4 linked regions of the Tribolium castaneum genome follow. The main gene of each other region encodes a partner of the protein of the gene in region 4 in a complex. Links are inferred from orthologs where the notes say so. Each region holds a gene or a part of one and is shown on either strand. Other genes may lie near its edges.

Region 1 (3,862 bases), on a different chromosome or scaffold from region 4:
GTTCTCCAAGAAAAATTTGAGGAAATGAGTTATTTGAGTTGTTTTAATTGAAATGTCTTCCGCCTTGGTTCAGAAAGCTTTAGAAATTGTAGATCCTGATTTTAGGAAACAAGCTAAAGGTAAAACCTTGCATCTTTTGTTTTATTTTTTTTTACTTTACATTTTAGTTAAAAAGTCGAAGAATAATACAAAAGATGTGTTCAACTTGATACCCGATAAACTAAAAATAACGAAAAATATTAGTAGAAAAGGACGCAAAGGTATAATCACATGATAAAACTGTGTTGTTGACACCATGTATTTTTTTTCAATTTTAGAAAAAACAGGAGTTTTGTCAACTTCAAAGAAACTAACAGTTTTAGAAGCGAAGAAAACTTTTAAGAGCAAGGACGAGATTTTGAAGGAAAATTTGAAAAAGCTTAAAGAAATCAAAAATGTTTGCACTATTGAACTTGATAAAGAAACTACAGAAAAGGTGCAATCCTTCTTACCATATGAAATGTTTATTTAAATATACTTTGTCTTTAGATAATTCAAAGGGCGGTCACTCGAAGGCCTGTGAAAGAAAAGAAAAAACGCAAGAAGACCCAAACAACTGTCTTCACTGAAGAAGATTTTAAGAAATTTGAAGAGGAATACACAGGGTAAAAATGGCAGTGTCAAATAAGGTTTATGGTATAACAATGCTAGGTTTGAGTGTCTTAAGTATTTTTTATATGTTTTTTATGTTAATAATTGTACCAATTTTGCCCCTTAATGAAGACAATATTTTAAGTTCGCTTTCACAAACACCAATTCTGTTAGTGAGTGGAATTTGTGGCCTGATTTTTTGTGGTGGTTTATCAGTTTTTACTGTTTTTGTAATGATGAAAGGAAAATGGAGACTCTTGTGGACAAACAGAAAATAAATAAAGTACAAATTGTAACTAATTTTCTAATTTACATACCTACCGACTGTGCCAAAAAAAAATTGAGGATACGTTCAAATGAAAAAACAAATAATCACAGAAATCAAATGTATTGGAACATTAATAAATACATAAAACAGTACACTTAATTACTGATAGGGGCTCCGGGAGAGGCTCATACCCCACCAAGACCTAAAAAAATAGTCTATCTACATATTGTTTCGAACACAGAAAACTTACATTTGTCTGCAATGTACTGACCGCTCCGATGTAACGAAAGCTCTCCCTCTACTGCCCCGCGCAATCCTAGTCGATGCCAAAAGCTCCCTACTGAACTTATTATACCCTGTCGGCCCAGTTGGCTGTGCCCCACATGTCTCTAAAGCCACAAAATCATCCACATGTAACGAGGGTGGTCTTGAAGTATTCGGCGGCCTTGAACGGAACAAATCCGACCTCTGCTGAATAGTTCTTGGGAAACCACGCGACCTAACCGGAGTAACTAAAAAACACCATTAAACCAAAACCTAAACTATCATCTCAAAAAATACTGAAAGGTTTCTTCGTTTTCGTCTTCTGGTCGTTATCATGGTTTTCCTTTTCGTTGCTATTATCTGAGGGACAGATTCGACACAGTTTTTCGATTTCTTTAGCGATGTTAAAGTCTTGGGGTAGATACTGACGGGCGATTTCGGCTAGGTCACATGATACATTCTCGTTTTCGGATTCGTCATTCGCCATCGATAGCCAATATCTTATTGTCAGTCTTTCGTCACAAACGTCCGAATTGTTGAAAATGAGCCGACCGGAAAACTGGACGAGGAGAGTTTCCGGTTCGGGCAAGATCGGCTCCGTTAAAGCCTCCTTAGTGTCAGGAGAATCCGATTGGAGGAACTTAACCACAGCACTTACTCCTTCCAGCATGCTCTCGAAGGTGATGTCTTCATCTTTGAGTTTCTTCAACACAAAATATTAATTACCACATGAACTATTACTACAAACGAAACGAAATACAAAATCGTATCATTTTCTATCCTTAAAAAATATACAATATCAAAAGTAAAAATGAGGGCGCCAAATTGTTAAATTAATTTAAACTCTACCACTTCATTAATTACTTGAAAAAAAAAAGGTGAGAAAAACTGACTACTGTCATTTTCACGATAAACGCGAGAAAATAATTATTTGAAATTTATAGTTTAAAGACACTCAAGCGACGGTTTCGTTGCATTTTATCGATAGTGTCGTACCGAAAGATTAATTTATACGTAAACCCTTGAAGAAATACTAGAAATAATATGGTGTCGCGGACTTTTTTATAAAAAAATTAATTCTTCTAACACTTTGTATCTTTAACCGTATTTGTAGCATTTTGATAAATATGTGAAATGTTGATGTACAGGGGGTAAACACCCCTAACCCCGGTCTAACTTTTTCTTTTACAGTCAGTATAAGCCTGCTCATCTCAGGGTTCAAGCTACGTCTGTCAAGTTGTAAATGTTAGATAATACTTTTTTATATTGTTTTTAATAAAGTGTTTGTACTAACTTTATCTTTGACTAATCTAAAGATTTTGATTTAAACCTCTTATTTTTGTTGTGTACAGTCACGAACAAAAGGAATGACACCCCTAAAACTGCAGCAACGAATCATTTTGATATGTTACAGTTTATGTATACATTTTGCTAGTTTATAAACTACTTCGACATTTTGTAAGCTAGCTGTAGAGTTTGTAATCTAGCCAGTTTGTTGAAATTTTGACCTAAAAGATGCTAGTCTTGACCTAGAATGGTGTGATGTGAGATGAGATGCATATGAAATGTACACATCTCACCTTTCCATATGGTCAAGAATAGGACCTTTAGTCAGGCTTTTACTATCCGGTCCGGTTAATAGGCGTGTCATTCTTTTTGATTGTGACTGTACATAATAAAAGGGATCCATTTGTAGTTTCAAAGTGCAAATTTTTTTGATTAAACTACATTCAATAAACTTTTATGAAATATTTAATACTCATATTTTTTTAGTATTACTGAGTTTAAAAAACTTGTCTGACTGTAAATTAAGATGTTTATTTACTTTTAACAATTATGTATCCTATTCTGCAAAGTTAAAGCATTCACAATAAATTTTTATCCATCTGCTTGTCGGTGAGTGAAATTTTTCAAAATTGTTTTTTTATATGAACTTTGATTAAATGTGCAATTAGGTAAGAATGTTAATTTTTTACAAAATTCCAATGGCTATTCGTGTACAAATCAAAGAAACAACTAAAAATTTAAAAAAGAATCTAAGTTTAAGATTTAATAAAAATTTACAATCTTAAAATGTAATTTTACAGGACAAAATAGCCTACTATAAAATAATCCCCGAGCAAATAGCTTAGTGACAAAACAGCCTATAAATAGTTCCAAATGCAGTTATTGGACGTTAGTCCTATAAAAATTTATCCAATTATTTATAAAACAACTACAAATTTGTTATAAATGTTAAATATTGGAAAAAAATAAAAATAAATTAAAAATTCAAAAATTATACAAAAACTTGCGTGTTTCTTAGTAGTTAAGTTAAAATTTCAAACGCATAAAAAATATATTGGATGAAAATTTACTTACAGTTCATCAGTTCCATTATGTAATCCCATAAAAACGAGTTTTTTGAGAAGATTTTAGCATTTATTCAAGAGCAAGATCGAGCATGAAAGATTTAGCGCTGGAATAAGGGACAAAGTAGTACGAGTATGCAGTAATTAACACACGTTTGAAAACACTATTGAAAAATTACAATAATAACACTAATATTGTGCGAGGAGTGTCTTATAATTTGTTCGGTTTTTAATCTTATCTTATTTTCCCATTAATTTAATTTTTTTTAATAATATTGTTTGAACATTTTTACTTACTAATAAAATTATAATACTTGTAAAACAGTCTGTTATTTTGTGATTTAACCCT
Region 2 (5,392 bases), on a different chromosome or scaffold from region 4:
GGAGTAGAAATACTAAAGGAATAATAACAGTTATTGTTTTATTATTATTTACTGTTATTGTAGTTGTTGTTTATTTTTTATTTTATAATAAAATTTTAAAATAAAATTTCTGCTAAATAAAGCAAACGTGGATTACCAAAAAAATATGTTACACTTTGAAATGGTTTTTAGAAAAATTACTCCCCATTCTTCCAACAAATAATGTAATTGTAATGGACACTGCAAATCACCATTCGGCAAAAACGAAATAACATCGAATAAATTTTCCAAAAAGAAGAAATTCAAAAATTTCCATTTTTTTAAGAAAGTTTTTTTTTCCCCAATCATTGCAACTTTAATCCGATCGAGTTGATATGTGAGGAAGGTGAAACTTTGCGAAGAAATAAGTGAAATAACACTTCACTAAAATTTTATTGTGCCAGTACTCATTAATTATGGAAAAAAATTCAAAAATATCTTAGGTACATCAACGAACAAAACTGAGTAAAACACGTTGTTCGTAAAAAACCAGAATAAGAAAATTGGAAAAAAATTAGAAAAAATACTGCCTTAACAATTTAAAGTTTTTTCAAAGATTTAAAATTACAAAAAATACATTGAAAGAAGATATTAATGAAAGAAATGTTTTAGAAAACAAAGATTTTTTTGCATAAAACGTAAATGCTGATTACCAATCACAGAGCATTCTGTCAGGTTTATGACCTTTGTTCTTTAATTTTTATTTCCAATCCCAAGAGCTTCATTTTTTACTTTTTTTTGCTTACGTTTTTTTCTGTGTTTTTTTTTAATTGTAAAGAACTTCATAATTGTTTTTATTATTAATAGTAGCATAGTATTTAGTTAATATAAATAATAGTTAATGATTGCAAAGTTAAGCTAACTGTGAAACCTAAGTATACCTATAAAATTCTGAAACGGCTTCATTTAACTTATTAATTGGAAATGTACTTCACAATTTTTAAGCTAGTTATAACAACACTAAAAAAAACTTAAGTTAACAGTGATACCATCCATCAAAACTTTTAGATAAAATCAAAAATTATGTTAGCCAAACAAGTATGTATTTAAAAGGTGAAAACATCTTCAAAATTGTTAGAATTTCAAAAAAAACTGAAAAGGTGGATAGTTCAGTAGACAATGATTTAGGTAAGGGTTCAATAAATTTGGCAGTATCAAATTGAAGCATTCTAGATTTATTTACTCCAAAATAAAGCTAACTTTTGGGAAATTGTTTTATTTTATTATTTTCCACAATCATAGGTACCATAAATACCAACACTAAAACTTTTAGCCTGCATTTAAAAAAAAAACGCAATTTAAAGAGTGATCTTCAAACCCATCTTTGTGGGAAAGCCCCGAATATTTTTTTTCTTCTTCTAAATTTAGACTTCTGAAGTGATTCTCTACAATGCTCTGAACTATGGATTCGCCAATTTTGAGACACTCTGTACGTGTAAAATCTCTGAGCAGTTCAAGATAGAGGAAACTTTGAATTTGAGATTACACTCCACAGGAAGGTCAAAAGAAACATTTAAATGTGAGATTTTTGGAAACATTAAATCAAAGCTAGAATTTCTAAAAATAAAAATAATAATATGTAAAAGTTGAAGAAAATAAAGTGAAAATGAAACATTAAATGAAAGATTTTCGTCTTTTGATGAATACGAAAGCAGTGATAAACAAAAAATAGAAAGTGCTATTTAAAAGAAACATAATACATAACTAACATTGCTTTGAACTTCTTTCTCGCATATACAATATACAGTGCAATGCAAGGGGGAATCTGCTAAAAGCGTATCTTCAATGAAGACAGTTCTAACAAAATTTTAAAAAAACTTACGCTTTTATGATTTATTGTTTAAAAAACAGTTCGTTTCTTACCTATCCTTATCGTCCTTTTTATCCCGACTTCTCTCCTCCTTGGGCGGCGTCCCCTTGTGATCCCTTCGACTGCTCCCCGTGCTACCTTTAGACCGACTTGGTGAGCCCTTCTTATCCCTTGAATGCGACGAATCTGGAGTATCCCTCTTCTTAGTGTCTTTCGTCGACCTGCTGTCCCGTTTCGGCGACCTTGACTCTTTCTTTTTATGGTCATCCTTCTCCCTATCTTTCTTGTTCCTTTCCTTCTCCTTTTCGCGTTCGCGTTCCTTCTCCCGCTCCCGCTCTCTTTCCTTTTCCCTCTCCCGTTCCTTCTCCTTTTCCCGTTCTTTCTCTTTTTCTTTCTCCTTCTCCTTTTCTTTAGGTTTGGGAGAGGGCGTGTGGTGTTTCTCCTTACGGTCGCTTGACCGACTCGTGGGCCTTGGGGACTTTGCTGGGGGGAGCCCCGGCTTGATTTTGGGGGGCGGTGTTTGCGACTGTTTCCGACTGCGTTGCGGTGTTGGAGACTTGGCTTTTGGGGCTGTTTTAGTTGTTTTTTTAGTTTTGTCGGTGCGTTGTGACGATTTTGAGGATGTTCGTTTCGTTTTTGGTTTCTTTTTCGGGGGGCGCTCCGATGAGGATGAGGAGGAGTCGCGTTTGGTTTTGGTTTTTTTACTCTTCTTCCGACGCGTTTCTATGGACGAGGAGCTGCTGGAGGTGGAGTCGTCACTTGAGGAGGACGAGTCCGAGGATGATGACGAGCTTTCGGTCGAGGGGCTGCTCTCCTTCTTGGTTTTCTTGTCCTTTTTCCGGGCTTTGTTCTCCATTTTCATTTGTAGTTCGAGTTCTCTTTGCAGTTCTTGCCGGCGCTTTTCTAGATCATCAGGGTCGGCGTCGGCTAGTTCCTCCGGGTCCCAGTGGTCCCAATCCTCGTCTGGGTTTCCGGGATGGACCCGTTTATTTGCATTGTCCTTGCGCTGGGTCTTGGCCGCCCGTTTCGAGGGGCTGATCAGGGTGTGGGTGGAGGAGTACTTGCAGCCTTTTCCGTAGGGGCAGGTGCCGCTCTGGGCCCAGTGGTGGCAAAAGTCCTGGCTGGTGCTGGCTTTGGTGCCCAGACGCTCGAACACGCTGGGGCGAGGCTTCGAGACTTCTTTGCTTTTCGGAGTTAGGTTCACGGTTATTTTGCGCTTGACCTGTTTAGACATTTTCACTCAGAGTTCGCGAGGTGAGGAGGAAAAATTGCGAAGCACTTGACGCTACCATATTTACGTTTGACGTTGCCGGCATGGGAGACTGTGGGCTTATCGGCTAGGGGCCTCCTTACATCATGCCGCACAGATGGCGCCCAAAAAACACAATTTCGACTTGCAAACGCCCGATGGACACTTTTTTGATCAATCAAACGAGATTTTAGCCAATTCCCAAAAAACTGGAACGATTTGTTTTGCAAAAATGTAGCCACTTGACAGGTGATAGTTTTTTGACATTTAACAGACAACACCAGTGGCGGTCTCAACCTGAAATTTTACGGGAACAAAAATTTTAAAACTCAAAATCTGTCGATAATGTACACTTTATTATGATATATTTTTGATTATGCCCCACTTGCGAATGATTTAGATATTAATTTCGTAGTTTTGGTCTGTTTCAAATTGTTTTTATTTATTGACAAAAAGTCAGTAGCGTCGCGGCCAACATTTCAACAGGAGCAAAAATATTAAAAGCACTGTTTAAAGACCAATTTTCCATTAAGCAGCTTTCGCATTTTTAGTTCAATCAGTGATAAAGGCACATTTAATTAAATTAATCAAAATTCGTAATGTGGTCTTCAAACAAAAAGAGAGGTTATGTTGACAGTTGTTTGTGTTGTGTTATTGTGTAAAGGAAAAATAGAAATGTAACACTTAAAAAATGTTCAATTCCTGCGACAAACAGAGAAATGATTAACGATGTACGCCCCCAAAAAACCTAAACTACGATTTTTGTTAAAACTTGGAATTTTAATTGCTGCGTTATTAGTTGTTTATTTTACGTTTTTTCATTACAATTCCGATGGTTCTGCTAACGATGCAACATTTTTGTTGCCATTCAAAAAGCCTAAAGAATACAATGTCTGGTTGATATTTACTAAAGTCTCTCAAAGGTCGCCGTTAAGATATAAATTCCACAACTTGTTGGAGAATATTTTAAACATAAGTTCTGTTCCTTTAAAGTTCCATATTATTGTTGATAATAGCTCAAAGCAATTAGCAGTAGGTGAAATATCAGATGTGGTGTCGCATTCGAATAAAGCAATATTTTATAAATTTTATGATGTTGAAGCGTGTGCAAGAGCGATTAGTGATATTGTCGACGTTATGACCCCTCATTTTAGTTCAAAACCGGGTAAAAAGGCTTACTTTTTAATTGCACTATTACTAGTTTTGACTTCAGGTACTTACTACAGCGACGCACTTTTCTATATTTCTTTGGGGCTGTATCGGATAGCCCCACCTTCCCAGCGAACTGCCCTTCTACTAGACTGTGATTTATACTTTAAGAAGGATATTCGATTAGTGTTTGAGGAGTTTGACAAGTGAGTTTATGAAATTTCTTATTCTGGTCAAAGTGACCTGTGACTGACATGAAGTCATAGATCACTTTGATCGGAATTTAATTCAACTGTTTGATAGGTTTAAGCCAACTGCGCTTTTTGGTTTGGCCCCCGAGCTGACTCCAGTCTACCGTCACGTCCTCCAAACCTATAAAGTGAAAAAGAACTCAACATTCGGAGAATATTATCATTCCAAGGCGATATCGAGCAATATGCAGCATCCTCGTGGCTTCCAGGGCTATAATTCCGGTGTTGTTTTGATTAATTTAAGTGCAATAAGAAAATCAAAGGAATATTCCCAAATTATCAGGAATGAAACTGTGCAATATCTCACGTCCAAATACAAATTTCGAGGTCATTTGGGTGACCAGGATTTTTATACTTTGATAGGGTTTGAATATCCTGATTTGATTCAAACCATAAATTGTGGTTTCAATCGCCAATTGTGCGTCTGGTGGCGAGAGCATGGCTACCGTGATGTTTTTGATTTTTATTTCAAGTGTCAACACCCCGCTGTTATTTTACATGGAAATTGCAACACGAAAATTCCAAAATAAATTAAAGACTGGTCATCTATTCGTGGAATCTCTACACGTCCACTAGTAGTTTTGGGAAAATTTGAGTTGGCAGCATTGGTTATTGCCAATCAAACAATCATGTGGTATGACCCGGTATATTAGGTACGAGTGCATTACTGGGTTGTGAAAGTACTCATTTATTTTCTTGTTTGTAAAACAGTATTTTTCAAAAATAAACAGTTTTTTATTTTTCGATTTGTTTTCTTAAGAATTGAAAAAAAATCCCATGATAGTCGAAATACATGTATTTAAATCTATAGATCGGTTACAATATAGGAATACAACAGGAAACATTCGAGTAATAAAACTTCGTATTCAGTGAGTTATAAATAGTGAATTTAAAAATTCAAAAATTGCAAAGCAC
Region 3 (4,980 bases), on a different chromosome or scaffold from region 4:
ATGTTATTTGTAATAATTATTAAAATTTCAAAGTGTCATTGTTGCTGTTTGAACAGAAAAAATATTATTGTCTCTATCTGTTAAAAAGAGAAAAAAGTATTTATTTCATTAGGATGTAGTTGTATAGTTGACGAGTATAAAGTGTGTTGTGTAAGCTACAAAAATTTGGCTTTGTAAAAGAATATATTTTCCTTGATCTGTTTTGGTTTTTTCGAAAAGACTTTTTCGTTTTTGTTGTTTTTATTTTAAATCCAAGTACAACGCTTGCGCAATCCATTTCATTCATTTCGTGTTGGTATTAACTCTCTCTCTCTCTCTCTCTCTCTATGATCGAATCATCTGCATGTGTCTTTACTAATCTATGTTTGGGGTTAATCTCATGCAGTCCTGGATGAAGGCGAGACCCTAATGGATGATCCTCGAGGTGTTGGCTACAGAATATTATCAGAATGCGAGTTAGCTTCGCAACTAACAACATCAAGCAGCGGCGACCAACAACCGGAATTGTTGACTGCGTAACTCCATGTCTAATCGTGCATTTACCAGTATTTCTAGATTCGTTTTTGTTTATCTACCCTGGGCGTCCCTCAAGGCTCGCATCCGAGACCGTTTCTATTCGCAAGTAATAATAACACAAAATCGAGTACAAAAAGCAGCCGGATTACAGTTTATTAAATTGGTGTGTCAGTCAGATAGATTATTAGGGAACAGCGACGTCTACCTCAAAATTTTTTCTTCGTAGGACAATCACATTTTTTGCTTAGTGATGATTCTGGTTTTTTGAATTTAATAAACTGTATTGTGTAAGCTCAAGTTGTAAGAATGTATTTTCCGTTAATGAGACAATGATTAAAAAGATATAATAATTCTCTCGTTGGTCTGATTTTTATTATTATTTTTTTTTTCGTATAAAAAGCCTCCGAACAAATACGGATTTCAGGTAATTATGTGTAAATTGTGCTTGTGCTTATTTGTGTTGTGTGTACAATGTTGGGAAATCAGTCTTACTTAAATTTATTTCTAGGGGAGTCCACGTACCTGTGAATGGGAGGCTCAAAGGGCATGCATCGTACAAAACTGTAAATATTGCATGTAGAGAAGGGATTGTGTCATTATTTTTTTTTGATCATTCATTCATCCGCTTGCTTTTTTTAAACCAAGTTTAAAATCAGTCAAAACACTTTTTAATTATGAGAGTACAAATGCTTTTTTGATCTCATTTCATTTTATCTTGCCAATGTTAGTACTTTGGTTACCGGTTATTATAAGATTTTTGCCATTTTCCCCCTAACCCTCTCCCTAGTTTTTTTTGTAGGGAAATTTAGAAATGAACTAATTGTGAACCGAATTGCCAGTACAATATGAAGACTGAATGAAGAATAATTTAACGATCCAAAACTGTATACGATTTCTTGTTCAGGCTTCAGTTCTAATTTTCCCTAATTTTATAATTGTAATAACTTAACGAAAATTTCTCTCTTCCCTAGAAAAGGCTGTTAAATTATTTTATTAAGACCAATAATTTGTATGCTCGAATTATTTAGTGCATAGTTTTTTTCTCAATGTATTTTTTTACATTAGGAAGTACCTTCTTATAAGTTAAACTTAGAACATGTTTTAATTTTTCTCTTTGTGTTTCAACAATAGAAACAAGTTGTACTTACGATGCCAAATTTTGTTAATGTTTTAACTGATTTTAATTGAAAACAATCTCGAACCCAGTGTATGGTCTTCAGAAAAATATTTTTTAACATGGTACCAACCAGTTTTATAATATAAAAATTGTATTATAAGGTTAAAGTAACAAAAATTATGTGACTGCGTCATTATTATTGAACGAAAATAAAGTAAACCACTATTTTTATATATAAATACATAATTGTATGGTTATTATAGTTTTTATATTGATATTGCTTATTGTGATTGTGATCCAAGATTAATATTATATTTTAAGTTATTAGATCTGAGAACACTGCTGGAGATGATTTGGTAGTGTCATAATTTTTTCAAATCAGATCTGAGCGCACTGCTGGAGACTATGGTAGTGTCATAAATTAAAAATAAAAGCTTTAAAAAGTGTTTTTTCAACGTCCCCTGCCACGTCCTCGCTGAAAGTTGCCCCGACCTCGTCCTCCGGAATTTCCTTTGCCCTTTGGAGGCGGACTTTTCGGCCTCAAAGCTTCAATTCGTTCCGTACATCCCGTCGTTATATTATTATTAGTAAAATAACTCGCGTATAAATCGGCATTGAAATTCGAATTTGTTAACTCGGGACCGATCGTTAACCAACCTGGACGTATGGTACTGTCTCTACCGAAAATGTGGAGGCGCCGACGCCCCAAACAGAAGTGTTCGATTATATGGAAAATTTCAACCGGTTTTTCCAAACTTCCATATTCGTTCTCTTCCGAAATGATCAAATCAATGTCGACGTTGGCGTGAATAAAATCCCCGTCGGTTGACCGCCGAACCGTTCCTTTAATACCCATAAGACAGTGTTCCTTTGTCCTTTGGAACACTGCTTTAGGGTCAAGGTTTTTCGAATGACCTGGATTTTTTATGTTTGTGCGAATCCAACAAATATCCTCGCATCTGTAATTAGATTTATTATTACAAAATTTTGGTCTAAAAATGGGGAAAATACCGGCGAAAGCCCCATTTTCTGAGACACACGCGCCCCATGTCAAGTCCATCTGAACTTCCACACCACAAAAATACGAAACTTCGTTGCGCTGCCACTTCCCCCACATCCAAATTCATGATTTGGTCCCATGGCCAGAACTGCATATTTGTGGCCCCCATGGTTCTCTGGTATTCTTCCAAAGGTGGTTCAATTAAAATCACATCAAACTTACAATTTAGGTTTTTCAAATCATAAGTCGTTAAATCACATTTGAGATACATAGGGGGATTTGCAGTTTGTGCAATAAGTTCGTCTTTTAATTTGATTAATTCACGTAATTTGGGGTACTCCTCAAACCGGTCCGCTAGACCGACATCGCGGATGAAATTCTGGGGTCTTTGACCAGTGTCGACAAAATGTTGGCAGTAGTCATTATGGGGGTTCGACGATTGAGTCCCTTTGAGAAAAGTTGAAGAGTCACGATAGACCAATTCATTTGGAGTGTCTTTCTTGTAGTCGTATTTTTCGTTTTCGTTGTTGGTGGAATCGGGACGTCTCTTAGAGACCTCGGTTGTGGTTCCTAGGACCTGGCGGAGCTCCTCGGGGTTGGAAACACCAAGCTTAAACATTATTTGTCAGTGATACATAACCACATTTTTACTATACGTACAGTTTGAGCCAGAAGTTGCTTGCGTTTCCGTGATTTCTCACGCAGGTGTTTCATAACTTCACCCATTTTCAAGTGCAGACGGGTTTTATCAACTCATTTTATTTAGTTTCCCCGCAGTTTTTGGCAAAATTCGGAAAATTGATGATAATCAAGTAGCGCCACCGCTTGACATATCGTGGCGGTAGATTTAAATTGGGGGATGAATTATTTGTGGTAGAAATAAATTGTGTAACACTTAAGGACAAATAAAGTTTTGTTGAAATACTTTATTTCTTTTATTTAGAAACCTGAAAAAGTTGGCAAATAGTAAAATTTGGCGCTTACCTGTACCAGAGTACTTCAGATAAGATTGAAGAAAAACATGCTGAGAAAAAGCAGGAGATAAAACTTCTCTTTGGCCCTTATCAGAGTTCAGTCGCGCAAATTACCAAAAGCGTGTCACCTACACAGCCCTTAAAAACGCGTAAAAATCCTTACAAAGTGACCATTAAATGGGGTTAGTCATTAATTAATTGTGGACGTAGTGATTTAAAAAAAAAATGTCTTGTAATTGTGCTACACCTCGTGGAATCGAGGTAAAAAATTCCGACACACAATCAGAAGTGTCGGAAAGCGGCACGGCTACTTCTGGTTTCAACTCAAATTGGGGCTCCAGAGAGGAATTAAGGGATTTTGTTGCCAAACACGGATTAAAGGACATTTCGGATTTGTACCAGGACCGGTTCCGGGTCGACCGCAAAAAGTTGGAACAGATGCTTAGTGGTAAGTAAAGTTTTTTTTGTAATTTGTGAAATTATTTGTAAAAAAAGGGGACAACGATGCACTGATCCCTGCTGACGTTTTTTTTGCGAACATTATGGAAGACACTGACACTTACATAACGTGGCCAAACAAACTCAAATTGGGGGCTAAATCGAAAAAGGATCCTCACGTGAGGATCGCCGGCAAAGAAGAGGATGTTAAAGCCGCCAAAGACAGGATTATGACGGTTTTGTACACGAGATGCAATCGTGTAACCATGAAAATGGACATAAGTTACACGGACCATTCGCATATTATCGGCAGAGGAGGGCTGAGTATTAAACGTGTCATGGAAGAAACTCAATGCCACGTACATTTCCCTGATTCGAATCGTTCGAATCCGATGGAAAAAAGCAATCAAGTTTCGATTTCGGGCGATTTGGAAGGGGTTGAAAATGCAAGGAGTCGCGTTAGGGTATAGTTATCAAACATTTTGAATCCAACCCTACCACTAGTACAATCATTTCAGGAATTAATTCCGCTGATTTTTGGGTTTGAGCCTCCAATAATGGCCCAAAATATTGATAATACGTGTCCTTACGTAATTAAAATCCAGGAACAGTACAAAGTGCAAGTCATGTTCAAAACTAGGTCCAAACTTCATGCTACTATAGTACTAGTCAAGGGAGTCGAATGGGAGGTGGAGCAGGTGAAGCAGGCTACAATTTTGCTCATGGAATACATGTGCGAAAATTTGACGGTACTTATAAGTTGTGTTTTCCAACAAAATTCTAGAAATTTTTTTAGAACCAAATTCCGGTTCAAATGACTATCCAAATTTCGCCCCAACACCATGCAATCGTTTTGGGCAAAAATCATTCAAACCTAAAGGCAATCATGCACTACACCAAATGCCAAATCATGTTTCCTGATGCCCAGGACCAAA
Region 4 (5,304 bases):
AAATTACTTAGTAAAGCTGGAGGAACTTACCAATTGGCTATTTGCTGAAGGTAGAATGATTTATCCAACTTAGAGTTTTTATTAACGAATATGACTGTGTACAAGTTTAAAAATATGTTGAAAACACTATTCACAAAAATTTAGTGTTCTCACAATGTTCAACAACACGAAAAATTTTGCTCACTAAATTCGAATCACTGAACTCGTTTAATTCCAAATAAAATGAGAGAAATCCAATTAGAGAAAATCACAGCCATTAAATTACGTTTTTCCACTACTACGAAAAGAAAACTCCGCGCGAAATTTGGACTTTGTGCACATTCACACTCACAAGGAATATTTGAAGAACAGAACAACACAATCGTCTGAAAGAACTTATCTATTTGCACAACACTATTGAACATTTTATAACCAGACAGGAGAAATGATTATAGAAGACCATACTTCCTAGCCACTGATAAGTGTCTTAACACTACATCACAATCATTAACTTGGTTTTATTTTGAAACAATCTTTATAAAGAGTAACTATTTGCACAGAACACTACAACACTGTAGTTAATTGTTTCCTTTTACAGTCCTTTCACATAACAACAGATAAATCCTTACAGAATGTTCCACTAATACAAATGACAGATACTATGAGAAAGAACTGCAACCACTTAAACTAAATTCACTTCAGCACTAAATCAAGTTACAGAATATTTTCAAAGTTCACAAAACAAATTCAGTAAGCACTTAAATGATAAAGCATCATCATCATCATCAACACAATCAACATCGTTGTTGATCACCAATTTCCTGAAAAATGTACAATTTGTTTAAACTGTCAACAAAATTAGCCAGTGTAGACCTGGAGGGGGGTAAAAAAAATGAGCTCTACCTCATAAAATAAGTAAAAAAAAACAAAATAATAATACAGTATAGTCAACGACTATACAGTCATAAAAATTAAGCAGTACCACCACGTACCACAACAATAACCAAATGATCCTCCTTGATCGCCTCCTCCGACAGATTCGGACACGTACGTTTAAGCAACTCTGTCGAAAACGCACACGGCGGAAACGAATACAAAACCCCTGTCGCTTCCGTCTCCTTATTCAACAACGAAATAACCCCAGCTGCTTCCTTCTGCTTCAAATACGACACCAAATTCCTCAACGGCCTCGTCTGCACCGTACTATCATCATTCGTGACCGACGCCGTCGACCCCGCCAACCCCAAGAAAATCGCATGCGAACTCGCCCCCGAAATTCTCCTTTGCACATCCTCCAACTTTGGCTGATCCAACCTCAACCTTTGCGTAATCCTCAGCTGATGTTTTCCATCCTCGTCCTTCATCAACCCTTCCACAATATCCGTATCGCCATCAATCAAATGAAACTTGGCCGGAAACAGCGAATTCTTCAAAATCAAAGCACCTTGCCACACTGTCGTACACTTCCGTGCCACTTCGGGGAGAGTCCGACTAGATGCGAGCAACCCAGCTCTACGAGACCCATTATCCGAATCCGAATCAGGGGAACGTCTCGGTGACCTGGACCTGGAGCGGTCAACGGAACGGCGGCGTTCGTATTCGGGGCGTGAGCGCCCCCATTCATCTTCAGTTGTCTCGGGGTAGCGGTAAGGGCCCCGGCTGCCGGCGCGGCGTTCGGGGTAGGCAGCACGACCCCTGTACCCCCGGGTGGCGTAGTCGTCGTAGTCGTAATCGTAGTCAAGGCGGCGGTAATCGAGACTGTCTTCATGTCCAGGATAGGGGGGTTTAGGTCGGTAGACGACTCCCGGTGTCACGTCCGCAAAGTCAGTCCTGAGGCGACGGTCAGGCCCCCCAAGTGGGGCTCCTCTCATTTCCTTCACAGCCGCTTGTGCTGCATCGATACTGTCGTACAGAATATAGGCTTGATTGTCGCCCTTGACGTAATCGATTTTCTTGATAGCCCCAAAACGATCAAACTCACGTTCTAGTTGGGGGACTGAAGTCCAAGGGCCAAGCCCCCCAACCCAGATACGTGTAGTTGGGGTTGCTTTCCCGTAACCAATTTTACACTGGAACTTTCCGATGTATTGACCTGATAATTCGACTTTAGCACGGTGGGCCATATCAAGGGTGTGAAACCGAACGAAAGCAAAGGCATTGCCTGTGCCAGGTGGTGGTCTCTTGATATCTATATCTTCAACAACACCGTAACGACCGAAAATGCGACGCAACTCTTCTTCTGTGATATTAATTTCTAAATTACCGGCAAATAACGTACGAGTCGCTAACGGGTCATCTTCTGGTTGAATGTGGTGCAAATAATTCGGAAACTTGTCTTTTTTATTCTCTGTTTTTTCAAAGGGGGGCCTTGGGACCGTATGTCGTGGGGGGCCGTATCCATGACTTGGGGTTAAATGTGCCGGGTGATGAATCGGAGGCCTTGCCAAATACTCATGAGGAGCAGGTAAAGCCTCCCTGCGATAATCTCTATGTACTGGGACCCCTGGCGGGGGCCCGTAAGCCCTATCGTACCGATCAACCCTTAACCGTTCAGGTGACCTAGCATAATAATGCCGATCATACTCTGGTGTAATAGACCTGGGGCGACTCCTATAAATATCACTTGACCTGGGCACTTCATACACAGGTTCAACAATCGCAACTTTATCATAAATAATAATCCGGGGTTTCCCGTGTTTGGCATCACGTGCATCCTCCGGATTCCGGAAGCACACATAAGCTACGCGTTCATCAACATCATGCGATAGTCTAATGCTCAGATCGCCGTATTTTTTGTACTCTCGATAGAGCGTGTCTTTGATCACTTCATCGCTGGCTTTGGGGTGTAGGGCGCTGACGCAGAGCACTTTGTAAGGGTAGGCGCGTTCAGGGGGGCGCAGATATTCATCGCGATGCGGGCTGACATACCTGGGGCGGGGGCTGGGCGAGCGATTGCGGCTTCCACGACGGCGGACGCGTTCGGGGGTTAGGCGTTCGTCGGAGCTGTCGTCGTACCGGCCCATGCTTGAACGGGAGCGTTTGCTGCGTGGGGGCGTGTCGCGGTCGCTGCTGCGTTTCATGTTTTGGATGCGGACTGTTATTTTGTCTCGGCTGGAGGCGAGCATAAACACTAACGCCTGCAATGGAAACTTACAGCGGGGTGTGTGTGTGTGGGTGTGGGGGCTTACTTAGGGGCACAATAATGAGTTTTATCACCATTTACTGAGGTGGATGAGTGCTGCGTTGGGGCATCACAGAAATGGAAGCGAATGGTGGACAATATGGCGGATGTGACAAGGCAAAGTGGTGGTACGCAGGCGTGGGATGGAATTGGCGAAGTCCGGTCAAGTTGAAACGGTTTATTCAATGTGGCCAAGTTTCAATTTAAACGAATTGCTAGTTACAATAGTACTTACTACTAAATCTACGTTTCTGGTAGAAAATCTAAGTTTTATAATTTTATACATTATTATTTGAGAGTGTCGGACAGATGCCAAATGCAAGGCTGTATTATTGGTTATCTACATTGCAAAATTTAAATTATTGAGAACTCAGACATAACTCTTCCTGGCCTAATAAATTGTTCCGAATAAATTATATTATTATTTAAAAAAACATACAGACATAACTAAAACAAAAACTATTTTCTCATTAATGTATAATTTTATGCAACCTAATGAGACCAGCATTCGTCAAGACAAATAAATTTTAATTTAACTTAGTGCAGTCAAATTTTATTCACACCCCAAACTTATTTCAAGTATTCTTGTTCCGTGACTACTAAAAGTATCCAAATCTGAATGATTATATAAATACGGATTAAATTCAATTAAAATATTGACAAAAAATTCGTTGTTTAATTAGGATTATTTTCTAATGAATAAATTTGGAGGAATTGTAACATTCTTCAAAAAAAAATAGCTGCATCAGAGTGATGATTAATTAAAATTTACGATATTTGACTTGTCGGTAAAAATCCCACATTTATAAAAATACAGATAAATAAGACTGACTTTTTCAGCGCTTGAAGTAATTCCTACTTAAGCATTTTATTTTACCGCAGTAAGGTGTTATCCATAATAAATTTTGCATTTTGACTCGACTTTTGCAATAAATCAAATACCTGTAAGCCGTTCAATTATTTGGTTTATTTGGTCAAGAACAACAAGTAATTTTCAAGTTAATTTCCTATTTGTGCACGGATATTTACTGAAAAACTAGTGCACCTAAATCTAATTACCACAGAAAGAAAAAAAGTGGCTAATTTTTAATAAAACCTGTTCAAACAAATAAAATTATAAACAGAAATTTCATACAAACCATAAATGCGATTGTCTGAAATTATTTATATTTTGTATAAAATGTTTCAATTGCTGAATCAAGCATTAAATATAAAAATTAATGCGTCATGTCATATTTGCCATTTACACACCCGTTTATTGCATTTAGATGTGTGTAAAAGAAGATTTGATGAACAAGAAAATGAAACTGCAATAAAATTTCATTAAAAATATCAAGCATGAAATTGTTTTTAAAAGCGTCTTACGCTAGAGCTATAAAACTGTGCAATTATTGTTTTTTAATTATTTCGTATTTGATTTTTGCGGCATTTGATTGTGAGAGAGTTAAAATGAAGGGGAAAAGTTTACTCGTTTTGATCATAACACTGGTAAGATATACATAAATTAATTGTAATTTCTACACTCATTTTAAATCACAGTTAAACGTCCAACAGCATGGTGAGTATTATCTTTAGTACTTATTGCTTCAACAATCAGCGTAGGAGTAAAGCGTTCCATGTGATGATACTACGTGTTGTTAAATAAAGCAAAAGTCTTTCATCTCAAATAAATTACAAAAAATATTTGAAATAGCTATCTTCAGACACAGTATCTGTACCTGATATCTTTTCTAAAAGTCTGAAATGGAGTCTTTGGGCCTAAGTTTTGGTAATTTAATTTTTTTTATTACCCATAAATACCAAAGGACAGTATGCTTTAAATTGAATTAATTTCAGTTGCACATGTCATAAAAGAACAATGATCAGTAGAAATTTCAATCATTTAAATTTGGCGTGAAGTGGCTATTAATAAGGTGTTTATTGGTTTTAGGAATCCACCAGATTTTTTAATTAAAAACACATAATACTCCTTTTTTAATGAAAATAACGCCAGTCCTACGCACTTACTTCAAACAATCATTTCTCAGACAAAAATTTTCAGGTGTTTTCTCCTTTGTTAACACAAACATTCATTTACCAAAATACACCTCATCCTTCCAGACGCGGTCTTTCAAAAGCAGCTTCCCCCAGCTATTCCAGTTTGA

What was found.
Region 1: nito (region 4) and vir share a complex: the UniProt entries of both Drosophila melanogaster proteins name them as parts of the WMM complex. The link is inferred for Tribolium castaneum from reciprocal best matches to the Drosophila melanogaster genes nito and vir.
Region 2: nito (region 4) and fl(2)d-associated complex component share a complex: the UniProt entries of both Drosophila melanogaster proteins name them as parts of the WMM complex. The link is inferred for Tribolium castaneum from reciprocal best matches to the Drosophila melanogaster genes nito and Flacc.
Region 3: nito (region 4) and Mettl14 share a complex: the UniProt entries of both Drosophila melanogaster proteins name them as parts of the WMM complex. The link is inferred for Tribolium castaneum from reciprocal best matches to the Drosophila melanogaster genes nito and Mettl14.

What each region holds. Positions count from the first base shown.
Region 1 is NC_087394.1:22,068,346-22,072,207, reverse strand, and holds the end of vir (protein virilizer), read right to left. Parts: intron 1,866-3,862; coding exon 1,460-1,865; intron 1,411-1,459; coding exon 1,149-1,410; intron 1,101-1,148; coding exon 1,058-1,100; 3' UTR 1,000-1,057; downstream 1-999. Other genes in the region: active regulator of SIRT1, read left to right, coding at 53-119, 168-260, 318-475, 529-648. UniProt on the Drosophila melanogaster protein: Associated component of the WMM complex, a complex that mediates N6-methyladenosine (m6A) methylation of mRNAs, a modification that plays a role in the efficiency of mRNA splicing and is required for sex determination.
Region 2 is NC_087398.1:11,172,023-11,177,414, forward strand, and holds the start of fl(2)d-associated complex component, read right to left. Parts: upstream 3,326-5,392; 5' UTR 3,063-3,325; coding exon 1,882-3,062; intron 1-1,881. Other genes in the region: Xxylt (xyloside xylosyltransferase 1), read left to right, coding at 3,807-4,242, 4,291-4,432, 4,530-5,007. UniProt on the Drosophila melanogaster protein: Associated component of the WMM complex, a complex that mediates N6-methyladenosine (m6A) methylation of mRNAs, a modification that plays a role in the efficiency of mRNA splicing and is required for sex determination.
Region 3 is NC_087399.1:166,059-171,038, forward strand, and holds Mettl14 (N6-adenosine-methyltransferase non-catalytic subunit), read right to left. Parts: upstream 3,489-4,980; 5' UTR 3,360-3,488; coding exon 3,294-3,359; intron 3,244-3,293; coding exon 2,645-3,243; intron 2,593-2,644; coding exon 2,085-2,592; 3' UTR 1,811-2,084; downstream 1-1,810. Other genes in the region: phosphatidylinositol 3,4,5-trisphosphate 3-phosphatase and dual-specificity protein phosphatase PTEN, read left to right, coding at 386-506, 556-742; BicC (protein bicaudal C), read left to right, coding at 3,833-4,055, 4,103-4,509, 4,564-4,794, 4,842-4,980. UniProt on the Drosophila melanogaster protein: Non-catalytic component of the WMM complex, a complex that mediates N6-methyladenosine (m6A) methylation of mRNAs, a modification that plays a role in the efficiency of mRNA splicing and is required for sex determination.
Region 4 is NC_087396.1:24,539,658-24,544,961, reverse strand, and holds nito (RNA-binding protein spenito), read right to left. Parts: upstream 3,323-5,304; 5' UTR 3,168-3,322; intron 3,117-3,167; 5' UTR 3,105-3,116; coding exon 972-3,104; coding exon of another isoform or gene 951-971; exon of another isoform or gene 801-950; coding exon 774-800; 3' UTR 365-773; downstream 1-364. Other genes in the region: uncharacterized protein LOC663498, read left to right, coding at 4,610-4,648, 4,700-4,718, 5,202-5,304. UniProt on the Drosophila melanogaster protein: RNA-binding protein that acts as an associated component of the WMM complex, a complex that mediates N6-methyladenosine (m6A) methylation of mRNAs. M6a modification plays a role in the efficiency of mRNA splicing and is required for sex determination.